Linked DNA regions of Lepisosteus oculatus. The protein of the gene in region 1 binds, or shares a complex with, the protein of each later gene. Links are inferred from orthologs where the notes say so. Each region holds a gene or a part of one and is shown on either strand. Other genes may lie near its edges.

Evidence for each region. Proteins that work in one complex are often made in the same cells at the same time.
Region 2: the proteins of npr3 (region 1) and nppc are in contact, whole or in part, in a crystal structure (PDB 1JDP), measured with the Homo sapiens proteins. The link is inferred for Lepisosteus oculatus from reciprocal best matches to the Homo sapiens genes NPR3 and NPPC. Residues at the interface, in NP_001191304.1 of Homo sapiens: Asn110, Tyr138, Ala141, Pro142, Arg145, Ala161, Gly163, Phe164, His166, Glu170, Tyr171, Tyr204, Lys208, Leu209, Arg211, Tyr214, Phe215, Leu217, Glu218, His221, Glu222, Gln225, Ile233; in NP_077720.1 of Homo sapiens: Gly109, Cys110, Phe111, Gly112, Leu113, Lys114, Leu115, Asp116, Arg117, Ile118, Gly119, Ser120, Met121, Ser122, Gly123, Leu124, Gly125, Cys126.

What each region holds. Positions count from the first base shown.
Region 1 is NC_090698.1:40,241,280-40,251,673, reverse strand, and holds the start of npr3 (atrial natriuretic peptide receptor 3), read left to right. Parts: upstream 1-5,722; 5' UTR 5,723-5,990; coding exon 5,991-6,729; intron 6,730-10,394. UniProt on the Homo sapiens protein: Receptor for the natriuretic peptide hormones, binding with similar affinities atrial natriuretic peptide NPPA/ANP, brain natriuretic peptide NPPB/BNP, and C-type natriuretic peptide NPPC/CNP.
Region 2 is NC_090708.1:8,850,165-8,860,640, reverse strand, and holds the start of nppc (C-type natriuretic peptide), read right to left. Parts: upstream 4,372-10,476; 5' UTR 4,225-4,371; coding exon 4,132-4,224; exon of another isoform or gene 4,034-4,131; intron 3,399-4,033; exon of another isoform or gene 3,308-3,398; intron 1,807-3,307; coding exon 1,543-1,806; 3' UTR 1,523-1,542; intron 1-1,522.

The sequences.
Region 1 (10,394 bases):
CTCAGATCTGCTAGGGATTGATTCAGCTAAGAATATGACTGACATAGCTGCATGTTTCTCCAATTCCTATCTGCATCTGCTTCTTCATCTCTCTCAGATGCTGCTGGACCAAAACCAGTTCCTCACTCTGTTGCTTGGCATTTAGCTTGACCATTTCCAGGTGGTTCACAAACTCTGATAACAAGCCCTTTAGCCGTGCCAATATTTCAGCGTAAGCTATTTTAAGTCTCTATTCCAGGTCCAATTTTCTCCAAAGGTTCTTCAGCATGCCTTCATTTTCTCCCAGAACAACCGCATACTCCTCACAATCTGCATTTATTCTGATGCTCATCTTCTGAATTTAGTTTCACCCTCAGGAGCAGTAATTCTGTGGCAGTCTGGCTGAGATTAAATGGGATTTCTGTTTGAACGCCTGCAACCAGTGCTTCTTCTATAAATATCTGAGGGAAAAATATCTCAAAAGGTTTTGCTTCTCTTTGTTTCTTTACTGGATGCCAATCCTTCGCTTGTCCCTAGCTTGTCATGATAAGATCATAGGTTTTGATCTTTTTTTGTCCAACTTTCTCTTATGTGTTGGAGAATCTCATTTTCAATATTAAAAACGTAGTTCTTGTTTTCTATTTCTATCCTCTGGCTGGCCTCCAGCTTGGTCCCTAAAGAAAGAATTGAGAGAATTTCTTCTCAGAAATGGCCTGGATGAGCTGGGATTGAAGACTCTCCACCAGTGCCCACCAATCCTTAATTTCCACCTCTGCAATGAACATCCTGAACTGTTTCTTGGCGAAGAACTAATCAACTCTTTCTTGACCTTTTTGAGTTTTACTTGGATGCAGCTCCTGTTCAGACTTCCTCAGCTATCTGTCAAGTTCCAGCTCTTTGTAGCTTTCCAGGATTTTGACTATATCTATCTGACTATTTTCTGATTTCTTTTTCTCAGGCTTTCAGCTGTAGACCATTTTGTATAGTAGTAAACTCCTGTCTTCCCCTATCCTGGACTTCCAGATCATGTTCTTCACATACCACATCCTTCCCTTTTCTATTTCTGTCTCAATGAAGGCTGTTGGGTGCATAGTGCACCCTGTAGTGCAAATTTCTTTTGTTCTTGCTTCCAGGCTATCATTTTCCAGACCACCTCTGTCATGCCATCGAGGGAGTCCATCATTTTAAGGTCTCCTTCAGAAAATTTTCCATTGTCTTCAGAAAGTCCAGCAAGTTCCAAAAGTTTCTTTTTCACATTTAGCAGGCTGGAGAAAATTCTTTCCTGCCCTCTATCTTTAGCCAGAATGGAGTCCTTGAAACACTCAAGTCCACATTTCACCCCAACAAATCCAGCATTTTCTTGTTTATTTTGATCATTTTTAAAAGAAAATTCCCTTGCACTATTGCTGAATAGCCATTGGGGTGCGCTACTCCCTAAGACTGCAACCCATGCCCACATTCTACTCCATATGTGGCATACTGTATAACTTTTATAATTTAATAAGCAGATCTTGGTTACCAGACACTCAAACACATACAGAAATGAAAAAAAAAACAGTGCTCTTTACCTGAGTTTCAATTGACCTACATCTTTCGATCAGGTGACTACACGTCATTCCCTCCAGCTTTCTGGGAATGAGGTTTTAACAAGGACCCTGATCTTGTTTCCATCTACCACCCTCTCCCACTAATTCTGGTATGGGATGACCTTATTCTACCCCACTGAACCTGTGTTTATATAATTATCCTTCCTTTTCACCCATTATACCATTGTTAAATATTTAGAATGTGGAATAAAGATAAATAAATGCATATCCATGCCATTTTCTCTCATGATGTTTTTAGTTTTTTGTTCATTGGAAAGATGTCTGTGTTTGGGGAAGAAATCCCCAAGTGGATCAATTTTATACCATCTCAAATTATATTACTTATAACACAATATCTGTGTTTACACATATTATTGTGCTTTTCAAATGTGTTTTGGAAAACTGTCTTAATGGTTTTGCTTTGTATCCTGAGAGTATACACAGCTGCACCAAAACAGCAAAAAATACATGATTGGAATAGCAGGTGGCACTTCTTCAGTTAAGTTCATTTACAAAAATGTGAAAGATGGATATGCATTTTTTAAAGTTGAAAAAGAGTAGTCAGTCTTGTGTTAATTAAAGAAAACCACAAGCAGAGAGGCAAGAGCAGGTCAATGCTGTCATTCACATGCACATTTCCTGAACAGGACAGAATGGTACTGTTGATTAATATTCACCGGCTACTGGAAACCATGACTTTGCAGACCAAGAGTGAAGGATAATAAATTTGTATTAAAAGCATTAACGTAAAACACACCCCTTTCGCTCAAACAGACAGATGGCTTCAATTACGTTAGCACTTTAATAGATGTAAAAGAGCAGGGCTCATAAACTGGTCCATTTTATTAGATTAACAAACCAAAGAACAACCTGCTGTCTGTTTCCAGGTTTATAAAAAAATCCAAACACACAACTTCGCAAAACCGAAAGGGTATAAAAGTAGTTCTGAAGAGTGATATTAAGAACTATACAAGCAGACTGTTTCAAGGTTGTATTAGAAAAAAAAAGTGCATAAAGAAATCTGTTCTCTCTACCATTCTGGTCAACAAAATGAGAAATATTTATCCTTCTTTTAAGTGATTACGTTAAAGGCAATAGAAACTCCACCCATGGCTGTATGCCACCTGAAATTAAAGTAACAAAGTACCTAATATCTTATTTTATTTTGGAATAAATCAGTAATTGCGTAATATTCCAAATTGCCTCATTCATGTAATTAGAAGGGGATAAATGACTACTAAAGACGCATTCAGTGAAGATCTGTGTAACAGATTTAGCCAAAAATGAATTATTGCTCCCTTAATCCATTAATGGTTTTAAATGTGCTCAAAATTGCAAAACTGCAGGGGTACTTTATAAGCAGGTAAATTACACTAGCCACCGAGAGCATTTTATAAAACCAGTCTGAAAATAATGTTTGCTAGTTTTACTGAGTTCAGTGTGGCATTTTTCAGTCCCTCAGCCGCCTATACTGCTTTAAATATAGCCAAGCACTTTTCTCTGTCACCTTGCAGTATAGCCTTTAAAATATTAGAGGTCAGTGCTGACTGACTTATTTGCACATAAGCAGGTTCTCCAAGTACAAAATGAAGAAAATCCCTTTTCAAATGCTGTATAAAGTGTAAACAACAAAATGTTAAAACCAAAATAGCATTTTTATTATGACAGCATGATACTATGATGAATACTGATTGGGAATTTGTTGTAGTTAAACACCAGAATGTGAAAGTCATCAGAACTTTAAAATCCATGTGAAGTATTAAGAATCATATTAAGTATATTAAATGTAGTAATTATATCACTAAAAGAGATATAATTCTAATTAGAATTATAAAAGTTAAACCAAAAAATATTTTTTCCCTTTAAACTATGCAACTTTATTTAACATGAAGTCAATAGTAATATTAAAATCTGTTGTTAAATACGGGCAAAAGGACAGAATTACTGCTTTAAAATATAACTGGCTAAAGTAATTTGCATTACGATAGTGATGATCTCCTTTGTAATTTCCATTGATTCTTAACACACAATGGAAATGACAACTTCAAATCAAATGCCTCTTTCCCAAGGTCGTTCATACCTGTTGTGTTTCCTAATGCACTAAGCCTGATTCACTGTTACACCTGCCAGCAGTTATTAGAAACAACCATGAAACAGCCACCACTCATGTAATTTCAAAGACAATTAATACTGACAAGCACAACATTCATTTGGTATATTTGTTAAGCTGAATAAAACAATAATGGAGGCTTAAAATTGCTGGTATTTGGGTTATTTTGTGCTCTTCACACATCTGGATCATTTATTTTGCTGAACAGGTGGGAAATACTAGGTTTACATTTCTCTGAAATCAAATTTGAATTATTTTTACAGGGACACTGCCACTGTCCCAGGGACACTAATACTGTCTGTAAATCATCTAAACATTAGTCTTTTTATATAGTTTATTTCCTATTAAATATATTTTATAGAGATAATAGAGAAAGAAAAATGAACTACTTTGATTTCTATTTGAATGCATGATACAATGGAAGGGTAATACAACAAAATGTTTGTGATCACACTTTCACTTAATGCCGTTTGGATTATGCGTCTAAATTTCTTACATTCTTACAGTATATTTAGATTTAAAATCGGTATAACCATTGACTGTTGCTAATATTTTTTTCCTAACCTAATGAGAATAGATAATCGCGTGGTTCTTTTTTGTTCGTAATATGATAACCTAAGCAGGTATTATACAATATTTTGTTATTGATACGCGTTAGTCAAAAAAGCACACACCATGCCAAAATGAATTATACCACTTTTTATCATTGTGAACGCATTTGGGCAAGATCTAACAGATTGTATGTTCTCTAATTGCAACTCTAATTGAACAGACATTTGTTTCATCATTCTCTCAGACGAAACACAATTCTAGAGACGTACATTATGTAGCATTTCAGGATAATTATTCATGCAGACGATTCACCAACAGAGGGCAGTCTGCAAAAGCGTTTCAATACAATTTAACCTTTTTTTCCGAATTTAACATCGCAAAGAACGGTCAAGAGAACGCGCTGATTGATTATGGTATTGTTGTTAATAACGTTAAGTCATTAAAACATAAAAGAGTAAAACTTAAATACCCCCTAATGTATTAATGCACAAATCAAAGAAAAATACATTTCAAAATACATTCCAATATTGTATTTTTGTGCAATGCAATTTCTTCCTAAATGAAAACCATTCGTTTTTTAAAAAACGTCGCAATCCCATAAGGGTCATGAACAGTCGTCTTTACTAAATCGAAAAATGTAATTCAAATACATTAAATACATAAATAAAAAGCAAGAAATATAATTGCCATAATAGTTTAAAAATACATCTAAATACCTGTTGAAATTCTTATTAATTCATTTAAAAATTAATACTTTAGCCAAATTCCTGATAATTTAATTTGATTAACTTTCTACCTTCGTCTTCTTTTTAAGATGGATGTCCATCTATAGAAAATACTTGAAAGAAGTGATCACGCATTCACACGTTGCTCAGTACACCCAGCTTTAACCTAAACATAATATGTTAGGTAAATGAATATGTAAGGTGCTTGTGCGTTTTCTTTCAAATTGAAGTTATGATGAAAAGCTAATATTAAAAAGGTTACCTGATTTTTAAGTCAAATTCTAAGGATATACTGTAACTATTCAGTGATCACTATTGTTGAATGCTTTTTGGTGCTGAAGAGGGCATGTTATTACATGTTATACTGTAGCCGGGGGTTTCAGCAGTATTTTTGAAAAACAAAATCTTAGTGTTTTATGCAGTTACTTGAAAATCAAAGATATTTTAATAGTACAACTGAACCCAGTCCTGACATCACTATTGTCATAACTATGTGTTACAAGTACCAATTAAATTTGTGTTTTTACTTACATTTCATTTTCAGACTTGTCAAACAACGTCGCACGGTGTACTGTAGCTGTTATAGTGTATACTGTTACCAGCATCAAGACATTTTGTTCGAAAAAAAAGTTTTTTAAACTTATCTTTGAACGTGCGTGGTTTGAAAGCGGTAGCTGCGGCTTTAAGAAGGAGGTGGAGTATTTAAGAATGACGCAGGAGTAAGACTGAAAAGATGCTTCAAAATTCCTCCCCGAAGCCACTCTCTGTGTGGTAACAGGCTGGGCAGTTACCATATTTAAACAACAGGAATTATTAGGGAAACAGAACTATTAGTAAGGGAAACAGAAGGGGATTTTTAAAACCAAGTTGAGACGGTTTCAGAAGATTTAAAGTGCAGGATCCCTCATATCACAGATTCGCTACCTTTTGAAAAAAAAAAAAGAAACTTCTTAAAAGTTTTAAGACGAAAATCTTAATTTCTCTGAGAGTTTGTCAATTTAAAGAAATAATATCGGAAAGCCGAAAAGTAAAAAAAAAATGGTAGAGTTTTTAAATTATATCAATATAGGAAACGTAATACCCGTCAAAGGTGCCAATATGCCATGCTTGCTGTCATGCTGCCTATACTTATGGCTAATCTTAATACCTGTCAAGACAAGTGCACAGAATGAAGACAGTGTAATTGAAGTCTTAGTTACTTTGCCAAAAGACAGCGCATACATGTTCGCCATCCCAAGAGTAAAACCAGCAATAGAATATGCATTGCAGCGGATCAGCACTGATGAACGGCTTCTTCCGGGACTCATTTTTAAAGTCCACTATGAGGACTCAAACTGTGGCAATGAAGCCCTCTTCAGCCTTGTGGATAGGTCTTTGAAGAAGAAGCCAGATTTGATTCTTGGTCCCGTTTGCGAGTACGCTGCAGCACAGGTGATAAGGATGGCATCCCACTGGAACATCCCAGTGATTTCGGCAGGTGCTTTAGCAACAGGCTTCAGCGATAAACTAAAGGAATACACGCACCTGACCAGAGTTTCCCCTTCTTATTTAAAAATGGCGAAGACATTCTCTGCAATGTTTAACTATTTCAGCTGGAAGAACGCAGTTCTTATCTATGATGATGACAAAGAAGAGCGGAACTGTTACTTCACAATGGAGGGGGTCCACGAAGTTCTTAATTCGGAATCGGAGGTACATCATCTATTGCCTGTATCCTTTAACTCCAAAGGGGGAGTGGATGTTGACGAGATAATCAGGTCGATCTACGCCAACGAAGGTAGTACGCCCCTTTATTGTTTAAGATACATTAAATATTAGCAAAAGAAAATGTTCTTCAGGATAACTGAATAGTCGTCTAGTTAGTCCTGGGTGTACTTTTACTGTTTTAAGGCCAATAAAATATACAGAATATCAGATAAGTAACTAAGAACTGTGCGGCCAAAATTGCCGGAGCCATTGAATCTCCATGGTAATGAATTAATGTACAGTACATGGTATATTGATACACAATGTGAAAGTGTTTTAGCCTTTACAGTACCCTTTTAAATCTATACAGTATTTATATCAAGAAAGTAGTCCTGGTGTTATGTAGAGGACCAAAATAATGTTAAATGGAATCCCTTTGATAAGCAGCCGAAAAGATTTTCATTTAATCTTCTGGAGGTGATTTATTGCATTTTTATTTTTACATTACTGTGGTTCCCGCGACTGAGCTTTTCGCCGCTGTTAATTTTCTAAAAATGTGTAAGATTTCTAAATTGGTCATTTAAAGATATTTCATTCTTTTGCTTTCATTGAGACAGACAAATCCTTTTTTAAAACAAATTCAAAAGAATTAGGGTTCTGCAGATTGCTGTTGAATAACGTTGTGTAATACTTTACACTTGGGAGGTAAAATAGGAGACGAATGATGGAGACGAGAGTGGTGGATTGGTGACAAAGAATTTTACCAAAGAAAAGAAGACGCTTCTGAATACAACTGGCTTTGTTATTAAAATGTACTGATGAAGTCCTGCCATCTGTGCGCTTTTATGTACTCCGTTGCAAACGGAAACGTATCTCAATACTGGTAATATAGATTAAAGAGTAGGTTACTATCCATTATATCCCACTACGCACTTGACATTCCAGAGCATACTGTACCAAATTTTCATTTTGGTATTTACTGTATGTTATCTCTGATTTTACACTAATGAGTTTGGTTCTGTGAACTTAACATATTGGCAGGAACTCGCCAATGGGCATTTTAAAAGCAAATTGTCTCTGGCCATTAATTAAAAATGATTTAATTTGATCCAAATTGTTTAAGACAACTTATTTACAAGTTGCATTCAAAGGTTTAATTATCACTGTATTAAAAAAGATGAGTCCCTCTGGTAAATCTGTTAGTTATTAGTATCTAGAGCAACATGGTAGATACTGTTAATCTTGGTAGCCACACAATTTAATTTAGCCCCTGAACTGAACGCAGGCATCTTTTGAAAAGCAAGGAAGACTGAAGCTAGGTTAACAGAAATCATACATTTTTAATGAATAGTCTGTAGGTGTACTAAGAAGTCCAGAGTGCAATATGTATTTGATAGAGAAATATGCACAGTTATTGTCATCATTACTTTTTCCAGACATCACCGAATATTTTTAGGATTTACTATTTGTGTCTTGAACATACCAGCCTATTTTTATTATAGCTTCCTTTTTAAAATCCATGTCGCTCATGGTTACATTGCAAAGAGGTTCGGAATAGGTATCACCATTTAGCTTAATATCAATGATGCAGTGTGAAACACCTAAGATATAGAAAGTTTTACTTTAATGTGAGGGATTTCTCATTTCTCTTGGTTGATGAGATCATTTCTGATTCACGTGTTGTTTCCATTTCTACTATGCATTGAATGTGTTCTGTAACATAGCATTTCACCTAAGGCCTATTGTGAATGCTACATACACAGTATTGTAACACATACGGCTCACATATGTTGTTTGAGCCGGCTTGCCTGCATGGTGATGTCACCGCCCTTCCCTGTGAATAGCAGGGACCTCAGTCACGGGGCTGATGGGAGATTTCCCTTTAGCTCAGCTGGCTGGTTACCCAAGTGAACCCGAAAACACTACATTGGTGTTAGCAGCGGGATGGCATAGCCCTTTGCCGAGGACGGCGAATTAAACGGGGGAGAGTGTAATGCATATGGCCGACATTACAGGTTGTGTGAGCCAGCTTTTCAGCACAGTGACATCACCGCCCTTCCCTGTGAATAGCAGGGATCTCAGCTGACGGGAGATCTCCCTTTAGCTTAGCCGGCTGGTTCCCTGTTGACTGATGCCGGAGGACCGGGTTCAAGTCCCCAGCGGTGGGCCAACCTGAGGCGGCAGCAGTGAGGGCGCATACCCATGTGAACCCAAAAGTGCCACAGTATTATGAGAGTGGAAAAAAATGGTTATACAGTATATACTGAACTTAAAATCATGACAAGAACCTTCACCAGACATTATATATTTGTTCAAAGTTATTGCAAGCCAGAAAATATAGGTTACTATCAGTAGGGATTGTTTTTTACACAATAAAATGGTGACTCCTACTAAAGATTGCTGAGGATGAACTTATGGATGGTTTTTAACCCTTAAAGTGAAAATTTACATTTTGATTGATTTTTATAGTACACTTACCTACCAAAGAACAAGTAAAGGATAATTCCATGCTGAAGAGCAGACAGAAGAAACAAAATATTTTGGCTGTTCTTCTCGTGTCACCTGCCAATGAAGCCTGACTCGACTACTCACAAGTCCACTTTCTGTCATTTCAGTGCCCAGAACTTCAAAATAGTGAACACAGAAGCTGTGAATAGAATATAGACATTTCCAGTTACAGAGTACATACAACAGAGTTACAGTGATAACGCTGTCAAAATAAGTTTAGGGGTTGTTGATCAATTATGGCAACCTGATCACATTGCTGTAGTGAAAGGGACTCACATCTTAAAAGTTACACACACTTCACTTAATGCTTCTGAAATTGTCATGAAACAGATTTTGCACGAGTTTTGTCAGACAACACCATACGCTCTTATTTCAGTTATGTTATTATTAAAAAAAAAGGGTCTGGAAATAACAGTAATTTTAGTTCAAATGTCAAAATGGAGGCTAAAGTCCGTTAAGATTCTACTGAAACTAAGATAATATGTTGGAGTACTAGAATGGTAAATAAACAGTGCATTTGTGCTTATCATGACCTGATGTAGTATTCTTATAATAATAACAATAATAATAATAATAATAATAATAATAATAATAATAATAATAATAATAATAATAAATAATTGCTTACTCATATATAGCGCTTTTCTGAACACAACACTCAAAGCGCTTTACAGGTAATGGGGGCTCCCTTCCACTACCAGCAATGTGCAGCATCCACCTGGATGATACTAATGTCACTGATATTACCTGACTTACTAGAACACAATTGGATATATTTGCTATATTTTTTACAAAGGAAAGGAAAGATTACAGGAATCATAGCATGGTCTGAACAAAGATGTAATACCAGATTCCATCTGATGATTTTAATTGCATACACAACGTACATGCAGATCATTACTAAATTTAACTGTATACTATACTGAAGAATATATATATATAATTATATAATTCTGCAGATTTTTATATCACATTATTTGCTTTTTTGACATAATTCATTTATTTGCTACCATGATTACAATATATTTTGTAATCATGGTGCAATACAATATATAATACAATATATTTTGTAATCAGTGCCTATCCCAGCAATCAAGGGTCACAAGGCAGGATACACCCTTGACAGCATATCATTCCATTGTAGGGCACACACAGACAGACACAAACACAAACTCACACCTGGGCCAATTTTGGCAGAAGAAGTTAACCTACCAGTATGTCTTTGGACTGTGAGAGGAAACCAGATCA
Region 2 (10,476 bases), on another chromosome or scaffold:
GAAACAGGGAAAGGGGATGATCGATTGCACAAAATGGAAAAAGTAAGACACATTCACCCACTGACACACTTCAGATGACTTTGGAAAGAGAGATTACGTACGCCCGGTCTCGGAGAACATTTTACAGCCATAGTCTGAAGCCATATGTGTACTTTGCTTCAGTTAACTGTGGATCACCTCATATCTTTATCACTAAATTAGTTAATGTTTTATACACATTTACTGTATGCTGACCTACAAATTCCTGTAATGAGCCATGCTAAAGGACATGTAAGGTGTCAGCTGCCTATGACATGATCCCTAATAATGCAACCTCTAATCTCAGGGCATTTACACTAGTTTATTACTGATGGTAATGGTCACATTTTCCCATTTACACACGTGCAAGGTGGTAAGGCGGTATAGTACATTCAAAGAACTATCCATAAGCATTTTCATTCAGTGCACATTTCGTTTCTTGTGTGGTGTTCGGATTTCATTGTGCCAGGACAGACTGATGTCCACAGTTCTGAAACAACCTTGACACATGAAGAACATTTAGACTACAAAAAGCACTTGTACTCAGTGCACTCAGTGATAATTAAGAAATTCTTTGTCCTATATTTAATCCCTGATCCTTTGTTAGTGTCCAATAATGTATACTTTATTAAAGACAATCTTTGCTGTGGATACATTTAATTAAGTCACCCGTAAATATTTTTCTTTTAATTTTATGTGTATACAGACTTCTTTTCCAGCTACTGGGAGCATCAATAAATGGCATTCTGCACCCAGTAGGACATTATTTCCCCATGATTCCTTTATTTTTGTCCTTTTATCTTAATACATCCCTCAAATGTACAAAATAAATATTGGACTATATTGTTTATTAGAAACGTAAAGATTTGCCTATTTCTTTTATTCCCTAAAAATACAGGAGGCATCCTGCTTTAGCAGCAGCACAAATAACAAAAACATTGTGTTTTCCAATTATGTCTTTGAATCTGTGTGTCACGACTGTATTTCAGATCATGACACAATGTCAAATTGTTTTGACATAATTTAAGTAAGCAAGTGCTTTTTTTGCACAATTAATTGACAGTGTGATCAGTGTGAATTTCATTTGAGTCCCAACCTCACTGTAACCTGGATCCAAAACTACTTAGAGTGCCTTTCGCTACCACTCCCAAGTGTTAAAAAATTTTTACATGAAGAAACACTATATTCCAAGTACACATATACAGTGTATTTATGGTTACAATTCAAAATATGGAATTCGAAATTAATCCGAAAGCTCTTTTCACCCATAACACCTGAAGAGAATGATAATGCAGTGTTAATAACCCTATAATAGGTGACCCTTTTAAATGATTACTTGCACGGCTGTCAACCAGATTTGGATATTTGTCATTTATACATGTTTATTAATGACTACTTCACTGTTAACGACTGCCAAGCACTCACAACATGAGATTTGCGTCTCCGATACTGCTGACGTCAGCTCACATCCTCCTAGAGTTTGCCACCCCGGTGCTTCACTTACCGCCTCTGGGCGCTGTCTCTTTAGCAGCCGAGGCCGCTGATGGTCCCTATTCTGTCAATCTTGTGGCCGAAGCAGCCCCGGGATCCCCCTTTCTTCACGCCGCCCTTGAACTTCCGCGGGCTGGGCTGGTCGTTCAGAATCCGCGCCCAGGCTGCCTTCGCCCGGGTGTCCAGGCGCAGGTCCCGGAGGAGTCGCACCCTCGACCTCGCACTCTCAAGTTTGCCTTCCGTCTCCCCCGATGCTAGGTACTCGGACAGCTCTTCGCCTAACAAGCTTCTAAGAGACTAAAACAAAGAGATAAAGAAGAAAAAGGCGTCAGCTCTCGGCTTCCCTGGTCAGACCTGTGGCAGCTGGACTCACGCATGGTCCGTCTGTGAATCCAGTAACTGTCTTCATACAGCAAGACTGGTCGCCACAGCAGTTCTCTTTCCAGCAGGAACTTATTGCTTGAGCATCTTAATACTCTGCGTTAATAAAATGACCCTCTGTGTTTTGGTTCAGCATGATTTATTTAACCGGACAACTGTTGCGTGTAACCACACGGCACCTGAACGGCTCGCACCGTTCGTTATTTTATGTAAACCAAAGTAAATCGGGAATTCCGATTGTAAACATATTACAATACGCTTTCCCCCTTTAGTTTCCAGTCATTGTATGTCATTATTTTATTTGTGATCATCCACAAAGAGATGATCACAGGTTTAGATGACTGTAATGTGCAGCCATTCACTGAAAATCAGCAGCAGGAGTGAATATAAGACTCTACGGTCTCACACTTCTCTAGCCAGTCATATGTGGCGGAGTGAGATGCAAAATGCACCAAAAGAGAGTTGGAATCACATTTTGTTGTCCATTTAACGCCTCTCTGCAGATCAGAATCTCTCCTGCTTTCTTTTGCTTCTGTAATACTTAGTATATTTCCTTCTGTGTTTTCTGCGGTGTTGGAGCAGGGAATATATTTTCCGTAGAGGCTGTGAGAGTGCAGGCGCCACTCTCCATAAGGAATCATCAACAGCTCACCTGGAACCTGCCAGGGTAGGTGCAGATGTGAGCTATAGAGGAGGATGGCACAATGACAAACAGCCACTAACAGCTTTATTTTACTTGACCTTCAGCTCAATCCACAAACCGTCCTTACTAATCGAGTTTAATATTGCAGAAGTCTTTAAGCTGTCGACTTCATGCTCATGTGGATGCAGGAGTTACTGAATATACGGTAGGCTAAGTCATTGTCAACAAAGGTTAAAGGTTTATTTTAAGGAGCCTATTTAACGTTTAGTATTGGAATAAAGTAGAGAAGCTCTCCTATTCAAACTGGGGACATGGGTAAGAACAGAGTATCTTCTTATCAACTGTTGGAGGTGCTATTGAGACATTGCTGTGGATACTTTGCTGTGTTTTTTTTTCCCCATTTTAGCATAACCTACATCGATTTTAACACTTTCCCGTTGTTACATCCTAGTAAATTTCCATGTGGGAAGATTCAGATAAGTGGGAGTTCACGCCACCTCCTAAAGAAAAAAAACTTTTTTAAAGATATGTCCGTATTAAGACATTACCCAATATAAACTCCATTGGAAAATGAAAGATATGTATTATTTCAGTAGATAAATTCCGTAAAGATACTTATATTATACGGAAAGGAAATTGTCCTGTTTGTCTTTTTTTTTTACTGCTTTCCATCGATTTGGTCACAATGCCCATGTATGATGCACAGGTACTACACTACTACCGAGGTGGGGCTTTTGTCACTGATGTCCGCTAAACGTTTTACGAGCTCCGAAAGTGGGACAAAGAGGTTCAGTCACTAAGTTATTAAAATTATCTTAAATTTTTTTTCTTCTGTTAGACGGGTCTGAATCTACAAGAAGCTACGGTGAGCCCTCATCTCTTTTACCATCGTATCTGCGCGTTCATGTACTTCTGAATGTCTGGGTACCAGAATACAGTTCTTGGAATGTGATGCATCCCGGAACATGACATAGGTGCGATACTTGCAGCTACCAAAAGAAGAACATGCTATTAAGATAACTTGTACGTTTCCTCATATGTCATGTTTTCTTACGCACCATGCGTAAAAAAATTTTTTCTTAGTTTTTAAAATTAAGAAATAATAAGTACTTATAATGATGATGGGTTTTAGTCATCTCTAACACTACAGGGTCATGAGAGTGAAACTTTAATAAAAATAAAACTGTGTTTTTCCTTCAGTGAACTTCTAAACTTCGAAGTTTAAAAATGTATGCAACCAACTATTTTTGAACACCATGAAGAAAACGTTCCCACCACTTTATTAATGGATGAACAGGTTAATATGTTGTTCAAAACGTATTTTAATGCGGCTGTTATTGTTATTGTTTTAGTACAACTCGTAGGAATAGTTGCGCCAAAAGCAAAAAAAAACTAAAGTAACAGCCGAGCATAACTGCAAGGAGTCGTAGAAAAGTTAGCTTAAATGGTTTAAGAAATAATATAAACTAACCGTTAAACGCACTGTCAATTATTTTTCAGACAAAAGAATACGCCACCACCGAAAACAACAATGGATCATTACGCTGGATATCACAAGGCTATACTAACGGAGTCTATACCGTGTAAATCTGATTTACCTTTTGCTGTGCCGGCGTCAAAGGTTTAGCCTCCATGCTCACTGAAAGCAGAGTCATCAATAGTCCACAAGCCACCAAATGCGAGATATTCATTTCTGCTCAGTGGCGAACTCGAAGACTGGGTTCCTTCTGGTTACAATAAAATCTTCGGATCGAGGTCGGTTCTCAGCAAGTGGATTGTCTTGCCTCGCTTACTCCAAGATACTCAAGTTCTGCACTGCTAGAGAGGAACACCATTCACGCTTTTTATAACCCAGCGATGATGTCATCCAGGCTTTGTAATAGTGTCCCCCCCCCCTCCCACCCCCCCTTCTGTTGTGATATGTTGCCAATTTTTTTTTTACCTGTAAATTTTCGCGGTAGTGTGTTTTTGTACGCGTGTATGTTATAGTATGCTATACCGCTTTTAGTCTGTGTATTTTTTACAGCAGTTAGGACGTGGATATGGTCTCTTCTGGGGTAAAACATCATACGGGTGCTTCCAGAGTTACCTATCTTTTGTCTGGCTGTAGAGCAATCTGGCATGTCCTTCTCTCGTTTATAACAAGGATGTTTGGAGGTTTTTACAATTAACCATTCAGTTAAAAGAATAAACTGCGCTCCTTGTATTAATTATGCCAAACAAATGAATAAGCGGGACACTTCAAAGCAAAATCCTGCAAGTCATTTATGGTCGTGTTCAGGTTTTCTGATCTACTGTACAAGGAGTTACGGTACCACTGATTCGAAACAACGTGAAATAGGGACAAACTGGTTTATCGAGAAGAACTTTAACACGATCTGTTTATTTAGCCCTAGAATATAACTTTTTTCTCTATATTTAACAATTAGCCGATTCCCATCTCCCCTCACTGGATATCTGCGTGCGCCCAATGCTGATGTCTAGGGACTCACGGATAACCCATCTTAACGTTTCGTTTTAATTTGATTTGGAATTTAATATATGTGCAGTTCATATATACATACGCCTTAGCGTAAGAGAGCCTACTTTGTTTTTCTAAATTTATTTTGAAATCTGAGCAGTTGTTGGTCTAGAGAAAATTTGACAAGTGCATTCTGTAGCCAGTTTTGTTTCCGTTATCAACTTTTGTGGGTGTTGAAGGCGTTTCTTTTCTTTTCGTTACAATCTTTTCATAAATCTTTTATGTTTTTAAATTAAAAATGAATGCGTATAATGTAATATCACATTACGATTATTGCGTCATATGAAAAGTCCCGTTTTAATTTAGAAAAAAAAAACCCGTCTTCCTATACTGTATTTAGCTGAGTGCAATATATATCTAGTTTAATGTATGGGGAGTTGATCATTTCTAAAGAAGATGCGGGCTACGTTTACCTGTACTTTAGAGTTAAACTAGTGATGACACCAACATTTTAAGTTTGCGAATGAAGAGATCATATGCATCAAATTAATTTGGAGATTCACACTGCAAAATTCCAAATTATGCATTTATCGCGCGTTGATCCCATTACCCCACAACTCTTCTGAAACCCTTAAACTTAAAATTTAAGATTAAATCACTTGAAGACAATGATGTCTTATTTTTTCTTCTTGTATTCCAAAACTTCTTGTTTACACCTCTTCGTTTTTCCAGAAAGACGGATAGATCCCGACTTTGCTCAATGGATTTTAAAGATGTTTGGTTTGGAAATGCTGTGCTTAATTCTATCAGTATTTGCGTGTGATTTGACCAAAATGCTTTAACTGACAGTCGATTTACTAGGTTAATATGTGCTATTTGAAGGATGGGATATTGCGGTCAATTTCAACCCACTAGGTGCTCTTTAAAAATATGTTTCGCCTGTAAGCTACAGTGCTCATTGTGCGCTTCTTCAACAAATAAGCATTTTTGCGAAAAACTGAAGGACACCTGCTCTGTAGAACGACGTTTAATTCTCCTACAGACAGCGCAGACTTCAGATGCCAGAGGAGTGCGTCTTTTTACTGCCCGCTGTAGCCCTGCTCATGCGGAGTTTATATATAATTGCTGCTTTTGGTATGTGTGATTACCCAACACAACTGGCCAAAACGAAATGACATTTTCAGTACAAACGATAATATTGTTGGTATTATAGACTTTTGTATTTTCGCTTATAGATTTTTATGCGCGGTTGCAATGCGGGTCTTTTTGCATGTCGCGGGTAAGTGAATAGTCTTAATATCTTGAGGGTGGTTATTGAGAAGGAAGTGGGCGGACAGGTGGGGATCACTGAATTATTGTAGTCTCGAGGAGCGTGTTCAGTCTTTAGTAAGAGACAGTCTTCACTCTGAGAGTGGTCGAAGCCGTGGGGTTTGTCTTCCGGAGAAAACGTACAGTAAGAATTCTCTATAATTACTCCCACGCCGCACAGCAAACAAGAAACCGACGCTTTAGTTCACGAGAAAGAGCTGTTCGTTGCCAAATCCTGAAATGCTGAAAGAGGTTTATTAAGCGTGATTTCCAGTGTTCTGCTACTTTGTCCGAACTAACCACACAGATGTTTTTATGTTATCCCTGTCATTTTCATCTACTCCGTGAAAACGAATAAAAAATGCCTCGAGTTACATGTATTTTATAATAATTATTACAAAATAACAATATTAAACTGTTCTGAATGTGCTGTTTAAGAGGCTATATATTTGGCCATTTTCGCCTTCCCCGGTCTTTTTCAAAATCCTTTTCTCTAGTCATGGTATGGATGACTCTTCCTCTTCCATTTTCCTTTGTTTTCTAATCAGCTTACACAAGTATGGTAGAGTGATAAATACTTCAGATTTCCCTTTAGTTCACAGTCTAAGCAAGACCAAAGTATCCGAACACTGGAAATGGGAATGAGTTACATGAGGAGAAGAACGTTAGAAGACATTGGTAGATACACATGTTCAAGGATGTATTATTCTTTTAAATAGAAATGTCTGACTTGGGGGGGGGGTGGAGGGGGGGGGGGGGGGTGGAGATGATTTCTGACTTGAGAGCTGTGTGATGTCAAGATGTCAATTTCTGATCTTGTTGAGACCCATTCTCAGATGAAAAGAAGGCATTTGGATGTGGTGACACTTTGTGCAATTGGCAGAGCTGTTCCCGATGGCTTGACAAATGGTGTATTTATTGATCACATAAACCGTGACAACTGAGAACCAGTAGAGTGAAGAGCTACCTTACAGTGCTGCTGGACCCGACTTTCAGGCTTGGAGACCTTCTGTGAGGAGTGTGCATGTTCTAGTTCGTGCACACGGGTTTTCACCGGCACCGGGAGAGCCTCAGAGTCGAGTCGCTGCTACTCCAGAGCGAGAGGAGCTGATTGAGGTGGTCTGGGCATCTCATAAGGATGCCCCCCTGGTCGGTCGGCTTCCACTGGAGCTGTTCCAGGCACGTCCCACTGAGTGGAGACCCATTGACAGACCCTGGACAGGCTGCAGGGATTATATCTCTCGGCTGGCTTGGGAGCATCTGGGGATCCCCCAGGAGGAGCTGGAATCTGTACTGGGGACAGGGAAGTCTGGGCTGATCCACTCAGTCTACTGCAGCCACGACCCTCACCAGGGAAAGCAGAGTGAAAATGGATGGATGGATAGATGGGTATCGGGTCTTCTAAACTTCAAAAAAGACATGCTGGCTGGGCTATTGTTGTCTCTTGTCCATGTCTGCTTGTGCGTCTGTGTCTGCCCTGTGATGCACTGATTCCATCCAGGGTGCAATTCCAACTTGCGCCCTGGCTCCGCCAGGATAGGATCTGCCTCAGCACAGCCATCCATAGGAGGAAGCCGCTGTGGAACATCGATGGATAGATGAAAACTGTGATTTGGGAAACTGCAGTGGTGGCTAGGATAAAAAAAAAATTGCAGTTCACTTTCCTGATTCCAAATTAAGAATTACTTGTAATCATTCATCAAAAGCTTCTCAAGCTACACCCGACAGTTAACAACAACAATTCATTTAATTTATAGAGCATGAATTTGTTTCATGCCTAAGGACCCCAAACCACTCTGTAGATAGGAAGAGGCGGCACTGAAGTACATAGGAAATGAATTGAGAATTGAGAAATTCCCTCTCCAGTCGAATGAAGGGAGATCATTAGGGTAGTCCAGAGTGGAAATGAGCCAGACAGCAGGGTTAAGCCTCCTGCCCTTACGAATAGAGCCGTGGGATCTTTAATGACCAAGTAGTCAGACCGACAGCTTAACATCTCATCCAAAGGCAACTCCTACAACACGCTGCCTCTGCTCACTATCCTGGGTTATTCGTATGTGGAAATTCTGGTTTTGGGGGACAAGTGCACCCTTCCGGTTCACCAGCACCGTCTAAAGCAATTTTCTTGTTTTCCTAGGAGGTTTCCCATCCCAGTGCTGCTGAGGCCGTCTTGCTGACCTGAAAAGAGTAGATCGTGCGAGGCAGTGGTAATGACACTGCCAACTTACTTCTTCGGCAGGTAGACTTCTGCTAACAACTAACTCATTCATACAAACAGCATTTTATCTAAGCATGGCTGCCCATTCCAAAGGGGAGAATAACTCAACTGACAGGTTACCCAGAGCAGGGGCAGACATACTTCTGTAATGTTTCATGAGCAAGTCAGGGGCTTAAAGAGAAAGAAATCAAAACAGAAGTGTCTTCTACGTGATTGTCCTGAGACAATGAAAGCTGCCCTCTTGAGCTGTGGGAAATGGCGGATTATATCAGAACTGAGTGACTAAGAGTGAATTGTTCCTTACTGTCCACTCCTGCAGAATTTTCCCTTCACAGCTGTTCTTCTTTAGCATCCTTGCTGGCTGAGGGGTTCTGGATAGTCCATGATCAGCTTTATGCCAGCAAGGGTCCAGAAGCCAATGGCCATTTACCTATATACAGTAGCTTTTAAAACATCTGCTTTCATTTCCAATTCTCAGTATTCAGAATTTGTACAGAATGGTTAAAAGCTTCATTTGATTTACATAAGATATTGCCTACGTATGCATAAAACACTCAGCAAAAGTTTCAAGATTTTAGTAGATGCCAAACCTAATAGCCCTCCCAGGGAGATGTTGTGGTTTGGGATTTTGTATCTTTCTAATTCATTTGAAAATAAGTCCATTATTTATTATCACTCATTTGATGTGTGGCAGACTGACGTGCGTGTGACGAAAACAGAGATTCTATACTCAGTCAATTGAGTTGAATTGACCAGCATTTTCATATCATTTCCCATTTTAAGTCTTTGCTTCTTTGTGTTTCTTACAAGAATGCAAATGTTTTTTTTTTTTTTAAAAGAAATTCATTGAATGAACAAACCTTGTTACACAACCTGGCTGGAACAAAAAGGATAGACTGTCCTGTCATTAGGTTTGAATACTGCTCCCTCCACTGCACTATAGCATAGGAATGAATGAAATGGTCACAGTTAAAATAAGCAACACTTTAGTTTAACTTAAAAGGCAATATGTCATCGATTCTTCCTATAACCCATCGCATGACAGTCATGTCAAAACTGATACACACTGTATGTACATGTAAATACATGTATGTACAACAGGCAGAATGGTACTTATAGTACTGTGAAAATAATACAAAATCTGAAGAACAATGACCATTAAAAATGTCAAATGGCTTTTTTAGAAAATCGGCAAGTTGATCTATTGTTACAGGGCCTTACAAAAGTGTTTCCTATGTTGTGAAATTACAAAATGACTTAATATTTTATTCAAGATGTGAATGTTCAAACTGAAGACTTCCAACGGCCACTTAGGTTAAAGTAAATGCCAGCAAAAACTAAAGAGAAAATATTGATTGCGTGAGCATTCAGATCCATAACTCAGTATATGGTGAAAGAATCTTTAGAAGTAATTAGAGCCACAGTAAATACAGCCTTGGTAGGGTAAGTCTCTACCAAGTTTGCACACCCATATGACACAATTTCTGGCCATACAGTATGTCTTGGTGGATTCGCACAAATTGTCTCAGGTTGCTTGGGGATCACTTATGGACAATAGTGTTTAAGTCTTTCCACAAATCCTCTAGCGTATTAACGTATTCAAGGTCTTTGACTGGGTCACTGATGCACTTTCTTATTCTTAAGTCACTCCAGGCTTGCAGGTTTGTCCTTGTGCTTAATATCATTGTCCTGCTAAAGGGTACATTTTTGTTCCAGTTTTACGTCTGAAGCAGGTTTTCCTCTAAGATTGGCCAGTACTTTGCTCTATGTTCCCATCATTCCTGACAAGCTTCCCTGGTGACTTTTGTGAAGTCACCAGGATCTGGTAACCCTTGGATATTTGCCATATTGAAGATAATGAACTCTGTCAAAGGCACTGTTGGCTTCATGGTGCCTTCCCTAAACTGGTTCCTCTTTGCCTGGCTGCTCACTCTGAAGGGACTGCTTGATTTAAGC